Linked DNA regions of Drosophila melanogaster. The protein of the gene in region 1 interacts with the protein of each later gene in a pairwise test. Each region holds a gene or a part of one and is shown in the gene's direction. Other genes may lie near its edges.

Region 1 (5,616 bases):
AGAGTTGAGACGCACGGCCATCAGACCGTATTTGTTAAGGAAGTGCAGAGCCATGTCGCCAACCTTGCCGCCGGCCACAACCACCTTGACACCTGCGTCGGCGATAGCCTTGATCTGGCTCTCCAACAGGCTCTCTTCGCCGGAGGAAAAGCTCAATAGCTCGTCGGCCGACTTGATCAGCACTGTGCCCTTGGTCTCAGTTTGGATAATATCGACGGGGCAGGAGAAAATCACGATCTTGGCCTTCTCTGCATAGGTCACATCGCCTTCTACGAAGCGCTTGAAGACCATGCCGCGAACCACCTCAGACTTGGTCAGTCCGCTGCCCAAGATCTTACAGATGCGAATGTTGTCCACGTTGAAGGTGCCCTCATCCGGCAAGATGGAGACGCAGGCCTTGCTCACCAAATCGTTGAGGAAGTCCTCCTGGCCGTACTGCTTCGACATGATCGATGTGCGGAGTACCTCCTTGACCTTCTCCACATTGCGATAGTCCTCGATCTTGTGGCTCACCAGATTGGGCAGAATCTCCAGAGCCTTCTCCAAGGCCTTTTCATAGCCGTCGGAGATCTCGGCAGTGGTGATTCCTAGACGCAGCAGCTCCTCAGCGGACTCCAACAGAGCTCCGGCCAGCACCACCACGAAGTTTGTACCATCGCCCACCTCGGCATCCTGCATCTGGCTGGCCATGACGATCAACTTGGCGGCTGGATGCTCAACATCCAGCTCCCGCATGATGGTGCCGGCATCGCTGGTCACGAACTGCTTCTCGATGTGATTGATGATCATCTTGTTCATGCCATTTGGCCCATAGGCAGAGCGCATGGTCTGTGCAAACTCCTTGCAGGCGCTGATGTTGCGGAACACCGCCTCCTCCAGCCCACTGTACATCTGAGGACACAAGTAAAGCCATTAAATTAGTCATTTTTCTTTCATATGTCGAGCCCCGTTCCATGAGGATGACTAATCACGCGCCTCCGCAAGACGGCATGTTTTCTTTTAAGCCGAATCTCAATGAAACCGATGCCCGGCGGACTCCTCGCAGAGTTATTCCTCCTTGTTGCACTTACCCGGGCGCCATCCTTCAGCATCTGCGACACACCGGGAGCCTTGGGAACGGATAAAGCCATTTTTTAACACAGATTTCAATTTCACACGGAGTCAGTCGGTAAATTCCAGCTATAGTTATAACCTCAAAGTGGCCGCGAACATTCTGGATGGGATAGCGATGGCACTTGCCTATCGATTATCGTAAACGGTGACTGGCGCTATTTTATTTTTATTTTACATTTGAATTGATCTTTTTCAATAAGGTAACGATTCTCAATGGTTTATGATGAATAGCATGCAATTAACAATATAGTTCAGCAGTGGAGTTTACGCCCCAAAGAATCCTGTAAATCGAGTTTATTTCTTGGTCTTTGAACGCATTTACTTAAATAATCCAGGATAATGTATATAAGTTACTCCAAATAAGTAATATTTACAGTTGCAAAAGAATTTACTCATTTTAAGTTTTGAGGAAATTTTAAAACAATTAGAGTAAAATATTTTATTATTTAATTTAAAAACTGAAAAGTTTATTTAAAAAATTCACATTCCCATTGGTTTATTATATTGTTCACTCGATGAATTTTGTTTGCATATAATTTGATAAATCTTTCAAGGGTATAGGAAACGTCGGTAAATGCAATTCAATCGTGAGTCGTGCGTGACATTTGCGTGATAGATTGCATTAAGTGCGACGAGTGTGAGCCGATGTAAACACTAGCCTTAGCGCCCATCTCTAATTCAAAACATAAAAAACGATGTCGCTGGGCAAGAAGCACGTGTTGGGATTTTCGCCCAATGGTGGCCAACTATTTGCCTCGGTGGACGAGTCGGGAGTTCTGCGGATATGGAACACAGAGACGAACACGCTGTATCAGGAGTTTACGCCCAATCTACAGTTATCCGGGTCGTGCACAGCTCTCACGTGGGTTTTGGTGGCCGGTTCCCGGCCCAAGAAGTCGCGGAAGAGCCTCCAGGCACAGGATGCAGCCGGTGATCAGCTTCACATTGCTCTGGGAACGTACAAGGGCTCAGTGGTTATATACTCATTAGCCGAGGGAAAGGTGAGTCGGACAAAGAGCCTTGAAGGCGAATAAACCACAAGCAATCCTTGCAGATTTCTCGAACGCTCAGTGGCGACAGCCATGATGGACCAGTGACCTCAATTACAAATGACAACGCTGGCCACCTATACACTGTGGGTGCCGATTGTAGGGTTGTTGTTTGGTCCTTGACGGACGAGCGCTCCATCGCCGAATGGCAAGTGGGACCCGAGAAGCCCCAAAATATAGTCTACCTTCAGAAAAGTGGCACCTTGGCCATTGGCTACCGACAGCTGAAGGTGTACGATATCAAGACAAAGGAGCTGGTGGAAACGTTCACCGGCCACTCGGGCGAAATAAACACAATCAGCAGCGTGGCGAGCACAGATGGCACTGAATTCGTTTTGACCACCGCGAAGATGGAGCGCGTAATCTGCTTCTGGAAGATCGACAAGAAGGGCAAGAACAAAGCCTCCGCCTGCACGCTCCTCATGGAGGACTTGGCCTACTGTCTAACCAGCGAAGTGCGCGACGATGGTCAGCTACGTGTGGCCAGTGTTACCCGCAATGGCATCATACACATTTACCTGTTGAATGTGAACAGGTGGGTCATGTGAATACACGTTTTGTCACTCGTACTGAAGTACTATGTTTCACAGTTTATCCGCAGAGAAGTTTGTGAAGCCCAAGGTTTCGCTGCAGATCGTTTCCGATGGCGCCGAAACAGTGGAACCACTTCTAGCCGTGGCGGCCCACTTTGTGACAGACTCAAATCGCTCCCACGAAATCCTCTTTGGCTACGGAAGTCGCCAACAGCTGCAGTTTGAACGTTTTACGCCCAACTATGGCGAGAAACTAAACGTTATTGTGCGCGCCGATCCCAAAAAGCTCTATGCGAAAAAGAAGGGAAAGGAGCAGCCGGGCTACCAGGCCGCCACCAAGGTCCAGAAGCCCATTGTAAACCAAAAAAATGTGGAGTACAACAGCGCCCTGCCCATCTCGCAGAAGAAAGTGCAAAACGAAGTGCCCATGGAAGCCCGACTAGAACATCTTAAAATTCAAGGAACCAAACTGAGTGGCGGCAAGTTGTTGACGCAGAGCAAAACGCAGCTGCTAATGCAGGCATTACACAGCAAGGATCAGGCGTAAGGGATTTTCGAACAATGGCAATAGATGTTTTAATAGAAGTTCGTTTTTTAAGGATGATACAAGCCGTTCTGAGCACTCAGGATCCAGAGACGATACAGTTGACCTTGGATCGGCTACCGCTCGATTATGTCAATCCCCTGGTCAACGAACTTTCCATCCTGCTGCAAGGAAAGCACGCGAGGTGAGTGTTTTCCGTAGAGCCCTATTGAGTCTTTTTCTAAATACGTTCTTTTACAGTGTCCGCTCCGCCCTGCGTTGGCTGCACGCACTGACCTCCACCCACACTAGTGTCTTGATGTCCGAGGACAAGGAGGCTTTGCGCGAAAAACTAGCCGTTTGCCTCGGCGTGGCGGAGCAGCGCATGCACTGTCTATCGGAAGCTTTGCAGTAAGTAAAATTGGGGAATTGAAAGACACAAAACAAAGGTTTTAATAGGGAAATCAAGTTCAAGATCCCGATTTCTTTGAATTTTTCGGCTTGATATTATTCTTGGGCTTTTCAATGGTGCCGTGGCGACACTCCGAGATCGCAGCGAAGAAGGTCAGCTTGGTGTGCAGAATGGTGTCGATGTAGAATCGCTGAAAAGTGAACGAGTTGAGGCATCGTTCGCCCAGGCCGTAGTAGAGCGTGTTGTAACCCTCGAAGCGGTAGGTGATCATCACGGGATAATGCTTCAATAGAATCTTCGACAAGGAAATGATGAAACGCACCTTGGCGACGGCCAGAGGATTCGGACAACGGGGTGTTGGCCGAGAGAAATGGGCATCCACAAAGAGAATGGTTCCCTTTTTGGCCACCTCGTGTCGAATCGGATTGCTGATCACCACACACTTCGTGTCCGGCGAAAGTTCCCAGCGACTGACAAAATCCCTAATGTCGGCAATGGCATTGGAGTATTCAAAGTCCCCGATGGTCAGCATCTTGCGCGCCAAGCCACTGGATACGGAGTCCGCCGAAATGCCAAGGCCACCCGTGTAATGATTCGTGATCGAGGGATCATCCTCTCCGTTGGCCACAATGGTGTCGGTGAACACTGAAGAGATCAGGCTGATGGAGGACATCTTTTGCTTTTTCGGAAAGTTGTAGATAAAAAGACCACGCGGGTCTGACTCAATAATGGCCACCGCTTCGCAGAGTGTGCCTTCGATCAGGTCGATGATGCACTGCATATCAGCGTCATCGCAGGCCGGCTTGTTGCACTGGTTGACTAAGCTGGATATGCTGGGTATTATGGCAATGGGTAGGGCACCGCCTGGTCCCAATGCTGGCACGCCACTGCCTGGACTCGGGGGTTTCTTGTTGTGGGGGCTGGAGAAGTAGTCCATACAGCTAGCGCCATCATTGCACAAAAGATCCATTTTCGAAATCTGGCCACGACAAAATTTAGTAATGCGTGTACTCCTATTATTGTTATATTGGCAATATTGTTATAACACCTTTTCAATGCCTTCTTTATTTTTAGAATAACCGGGCGAGTCAACCTGATAATTAACCAGATGAAACGCAACGCGGACAATCATCTCAACGATAACAAAGCCCTGATCCTGGACGAAGATCCAGGTAAGTTATCAAGTGGTTTTATTCGCACAAGGCTCGAGTCTTAATTCGCTTGCTTGCAGATGAGCCCGATCCCGAAGCAGAAACGAACTGGAGCGATCTGGAGGAGGATCAGCCAGGCAGTCCGAAGAGCCCATTGGAAGACGAGCTGGTGGCCGACGACGACCTGGCGACCGACGATGGTAACGCCGACGCAGACACAGACTCTGACGTATCCATGGATTAGACAGTCTACCCGTAATTTAAGCTTAAATGCAATTCCCTTGTTGTTGCGCCGCGAGAAAATAAATTAGCATTTTTTTCCAAACACAGTCTTTTACATCGAATTCATAAATTTTTATTTACGGTTTTAAACTACGTGCAACAACGAATAGTGAGAGCCAATTGTTGGTCTAATTCCGACACGAGATTTCATCGATACGCAAGCAAACAAACATATCCAGTTCATAAATACAGTTGAATAATGTGCCAATAACAGGGGGCTTGTAGCTCGAGTATACATAAGCGGCGGCTACTGAATAACGGCTCAGAAACTACTAACAATTAGAGCATTTGTGTAAACATTTCTTTTTAATTCGCAACAAATAGCCAGACATGATTACTTCCAATTGGCTTTGATGAAGTTAATTAGACCGTTCGTGGAACTGTCGTGCGTGGAGACCTCGTTGCAGTGATCCAGCTCCGGCTCGATGGCCTTGGCCAGCTGCTTGCCCAGCTCCACACCCCATTGGTCGAACGAGTTGATGTCCCAAATGATGCCCTGAACGAAGATCTTGTGCTCGTACAGCGCTGCAAAATCAATTGACATTAATAGGTG
Region 2 (4,744 bases), on another chromosome or scaffold:
AACTGAAATGCGATTGGTTCAATTTGTTGGTGTCATTATGAGCAGTAGGAATTTAATGAAAACGTTTAGCTTAAGTACTTGATTCGATATTCGAATTCCGCTTTGCACATCGCGCAAATTGAGAGATAAGATAACTGATGGAATAACTATTTCAAAGCCGTGCGAAGAGTAGTAGTGCGTCCTTCAGCAAAGCCTCCTTTTCCAGACTGACCTACGCCATCGCTATTTCGACGAGCAGAGCTTCTCCGTAAAGAACGGAGCCTCCTTCAGCTTGGCCTTGTCCGCCTCGTCGAGGAACGCCTTGGCCTGCTCGATGTCCCCGCGGATGGCGGCAATCAGTGACTCCAGGGAGTCGAAACTGCGCTCCGGTCGCAGGTAGCCTACAATGCATATCTTGAGTGTCTGGCCGTAAAGGTCACAGTTAAAGTCGTGTAGCATGTGCGTCTCCACGCTCTTCTCCTTGTTGTTGTAGAAGGGATTCCAGCCGATGCTGAGGACCATCTTGTGCACGGGTCCATTATCCACGTTTGCCCAACCGTAGTACGCGCCAGTGGGCAGGGATTCCGGCAGCGATTTCACCACCTCCAGCGGAAAGTTAGCTAACAAGTGGTTTGGTTATCAATTAGAAATGACCTTCGCAATTCGCCTAACGTCGCCACCAACCTGTTGGGATGCCCAGCTCTTTGGAGCCGCGTCCGAAGCCCCGAACAATCTCGCCCCCAGCGAACAGAGGCAGTTGGCTCAGCATTTCCCAGATTTCCTTGCAATCTGACCCAGATCTGCTGTGCTGGCGCTTGAAATGAATATCAGGGGCCAATGGGCGGTTGATTTGCGGTATTCTGTGCAACCGCAAAGCGCTGCGGGCCAATTTATCGAGTCTGGCAAGGAGTCAAGCGGGGTTTTCTACAGAGTACGTATGTTGTGATTGCCGCGTAGCCACTCACATAACTATTCCTCGTTCCATTGATCGGCATAATATTCATAAACACACAGACAAATTTTCCGCATTCATAAAGCGAATCAGCTGTTGCCTTCGGGCTGCCAACCTGTTTCAGTTATATAGTACTGTCAATTAGCGAATTTTTTTTACTAGATATTTAAATTGTAAGAAACTGAAATGTATATATTACGCACAGTATGGTTTTAATCAATAAAGCTTGGGTTTATATTGTAATGCAGAATTAATGTAATTGGATTGATTTTAAAATTTTAGCGGCGGGTTAAACATATTTTCATCAAAAGCTTTTATTTGCTGTGTAGAGCTTCTATTGAAAATATTGAATTTTTATTTCATAAATGAATCATCAGATGTTTTGTGTAAATACTAGTACTCTATTCCCAAAATAAATAGAACACCAAATCGTAATTAAATTACAATGAAAGCCAGCTTGCCTGAAAAATATTTGTGTTATTAATACAAATATACATACATATATACATATATATACATATATACATATTTTTTCATATCATATCAATCTCAATTTTTTTTATTCTGAATAATTGTTTTCCATGTGTACATGTATTATTCAGCACTAAAAAAAATGTACAAATGATCAGTGCGACGGTTGGTTTCTTTGCAGTTCCAGTTATCATCCAATTCTCCAAAAAGTGAACACTTACACTTGTGTAGAATGAGAAATCAATTGAACTCTTTAAAAAATGTGCCGTTTATTCATATAATTTACCAGCAATAACTGTAAAACCAGCGAAACGGGATTATTAGTTTGCAAAACAAGGCCAATGTCAATGGTCAATTCATAAGATGTCGTAAACTGTTCTTTTATTAAAAAACATTGCATTTGGTTGTTGATTTAGATGATGCACAGCGCGAAGAACGTGTGCCGGACTTGTATGGACGAGACCGGCACCCTGGTAGATATATTCGCCAATGTAAGGGATCCTGTGCTCGACGAACCGGAGATGAGCCTCTCGCACATCCTGGCCAGGTGTACCGAACGTCCAGTGAAACGCGGCGACCTGCTGCCGCAGTTCATATGCGTTTCCTGCGTCCTGGCCGTGCAGAATGCTTTCCGGTTCAAGTGGCAAAGCGAGCAGAGCTACCAGCACTTCTTCCGCGTCCTAAACCAGTCGGGTGCTCCGGAAAACCAAGTGCACTTAGCTGCATGTAATGGGGATAAGAACCAGATAATAAACCAGAAAATGCAGCTCAAAAGCGATCGTCAACAGGATACGCAGCAAATGACAAAAACGCAGAAACCAGATGATGATCTTAGTCAAAAACAAACACTCCAAGCGAAGCTCCAAGAGGGAAATATTGATGGCCCACCGGAGTCCTTCACCCTGCATCCTCGTAAGCGGACTTGTCGCACAGAAGAACAGGCAGACATGATCCCAAAGGAAGCTACAAGGTAATGCAATTTGTTATAAATATCAAGCCTCAAGATAGACAAATAATTGAAAAATTATAAAAATTTGAAGGTACATCTTTGATTACTTATACTTTTATATGAATAATTAAAAATAACTTAAATAAGCTTAAATAATTATATTCCCGATTTTCAGAAGTACCAAAATGATCTGCGATGCCGATGGCTACTACAACTGCCCGCACTGTTCTAAGCGATTTTGTTCCCAGACCCAGTTAAGGACCCACATCACCGATCTGTGCAACAGGTGTCCCTACTGCCCACGCACTTATATGCAAAAATCGAACCTCAAGCGGCATTTGCGAAACCACCTAAGCAAGCCAGCGCACAAGTGTTTCCACTGCTCGAAGGCTTTCATGCGTAAAGATCACCTTAAAAGGCACCTGCGCACCCACGACAGTGACGGTCCGCTCTCCTGCAGCCAGTGCTCAGCGGTATTTATCGAACACGTTCAGCTGGAAATCCATCGCAGAGAGCACAAACAAAGGCCGGGCTCTTCAAAATCGGAGTCCACGAAGGATCCTGACTCGGACGACAGCGATCAAGCGCAGGATCTAAAACCAAAGTGGACTAAGAACACCTTCAATGGCACGTGCAGCATTCCACCTATGCTAAAGCCGTGAGTTTGGAACTCCACCAGTCTTATGTAATATAGTTATACCTGATAGTTATACTTATACCCTAGTACCGCTGAGAAATTTGTGACGAGCGAAGGTAGCGTATCTGACCCCTTTATATTCTTAATCGGAACCACTAGCCGAGTTCATAAGTTCTCATCAGTCCGTCCGTTCGTCTATTTTTCCGTCTGTCTGTCCGCAGAGATCTCTGGAATTAAAAATCTAGAAAATTAAGGTTTTGAGTTTGTTTCAGACCTTTAAAAAGCCAACAAACGGACATTAAGTTATTGTTTTCATTTATTCTTTTACTTAAATTTTTGGCGATAGCCATTTCGCCGAAGAAAATTTGAATAATCAAACTTTAACCAAACTTTAAAATTGTATACCCGTTACACGATAAGTAATAAAAAGGTTTACTAGTAGAAGGAAATAATAATCTTGCACAGGATCAATAGTCTGTCCGTCCGTCTGCGTGTCCGTAAGAACGCCGTGATCCCGTTAACTATAGGAGCTAAATCCCTAAGATTTAGTAAAATTTATAGAAATAGAAAACCCTCGCACTTTTACTAGCTGATTAACGGGTATCTGATAGTCGAGGCGAATCAACTAATATCATTTGCTTCTATTTATTTAACAACAGGAAACCGATATGCGATATTTGCCAAAAGAAGTTCAGTAGTGTCTACGCCTTGAAGCGGCATATGCTTACTCACAATCGCCAACATCATCTTAAAAAATGTACCTATTGTTCCGAGGAGTTCAAAACAGAAAAACATCTCAAAAGGCACGAGCGTGGTCACATGGGAGATCTGTTTCGTTGCGAATTTTGCTCATTGGTATTTGTAGATGTTAACTACTTGCGAAAGCACAAAAAACGCATTCACAGCAACAACGTAATAGCGATGTAGGAGAAGATCATGTCCAAACGGGTGACTACCGGTTATACTCTTGGAAAACAACCATTGAATTAAGCAGATTAATATATGTGAAAGGAATATAAACGATTTATTATTCATTATAATTATAATGACCGCAGGTCTAAACTTCTGTTGTTGATTCTTACTTTGAATTTTCTTAAATATGATTCTTTTGTTACTTTCATAAGCTCAAAATTAATATTATTTAAGTTTCGTTTTAATTATATATTTCACAGAAACTCAAATATACTGAGAATAAGCTCTAAATTTATATTATTGAAATTTCCTTTTAATTGTATATTTCACAATACATTATTATACTGAAAATAATTAAACAATCGATTGATTGCTACCACATGCTACTTAATGCCTTCTTATATATCTTTAGAGCTTCAAACTTTTTTCTTTTAGCTTTGTTGTGGTTTTGCGAGAACAAAAGGAAAAATAGACAAAAAGAATGATCCATACATCATGAAAACAACTAGTATGCTTTATTATTAGTACGTTTTGTTCTTAATATAGAAAAAAAGGGAATATATATGCTTTATGCTTTATGGACGTGCGACTATATCAAATGTAACGTATAACGTTAAAGGTAGTCTGTGTAGTATTAATACACAATTGTAAACGAATTCAATCCGTTAAAAAACACTTTGGTGAAATTGTAAAGCTTTTGTATGCGAACAATTTAAACAAAAAAAAACATAATCTTCTTAAAACTAACTAAAATACTTCGACTCACATCTCGAAGAGTTTCTTTAGCTCCGCGAGGTTGAGACCACCGCCAACACATTTGGTCACTTCTCCTCCTTCCTCTGGA

What was found. The genes of interacting proteins can lie anywhere in the genome.
Region 2: the proteins of CG30349 (region 1) and kipf interact in a two-hybrid assay, tested with the Drosophila melanogaster proteins (one large-scale study listed by BioGRID).

What each region holds. Positions count from the first base shown.
Region 1 is NT_033778.4:8,905,783-8,911,398, forward strand, and holds CG30349 (uncharacterized protein), read left to right. Parts: upstream 1-1,735; 5' UTR 1,736-1,808; coding exon 1,809-2,114; intron 2,115-2,167; coding exon 2,168-2,697; intron 2,698-2,752; coding exon 2,753-3,238; intron 3,239-3,294; coding exon 3,295-3,423; intron 3,424-3,479; coding exon 3,480-3,629; intron 3,630-3,649; exon of another isoform or gene 3,650-3,688; coding exon of another isoform or gene 3,689-4,567; intron 4,568-4,704; coding exon 4,705-4,802; intron 4,803-4,861; coding exon 4,862-5,025; 3' UTR 5,026-5,103; downstream 5,104-5,616. Other genes in the region: CCT8 (chaperonin containing TCP1 subunit 8), read right to left, coding at 1-891, 1,071-1,130; CG8252 (uncharacterized protein), read right to left, coding at 3,689-4,567; Pgi (phosphoglucose isomerase), read right to left, coding at 5,398-5,588.
Region 2 is NT_033777.3:7,912,266-7,917,009, forward strand, and holds kipf (kipferl), read left to right. Parts: upstream 1-1,585; 5' UTR 1,586-1,818; coding exon 1,819-2,372; intron 2,373-2,526; coding exon 2,527-3,009; coding exon of another isoform or gene 3,010-3,013; exon of another isoform or gene 3,014-3,104; intron 3,105-3,647; coding exon 3,648-3,915; 3' UTR 3,916-4,188; downstream 4,189-4,744. Other genes in the region: Rfk (riboflavin kinase), read right to left, coding at 223-599, 664-748; CG10445 (uncharacterized protein), read right to left, coding at 4,663-4,744. UniProt on the Drosophila melanogaster protein: DNA-binding zinc finger protein that recruits chromo domain protein rhino/rhi to specific chromatin regions enriched in H3K9me2/3 histone methylation, mediating piRNA (piwi-interacting RNA) biogenesis.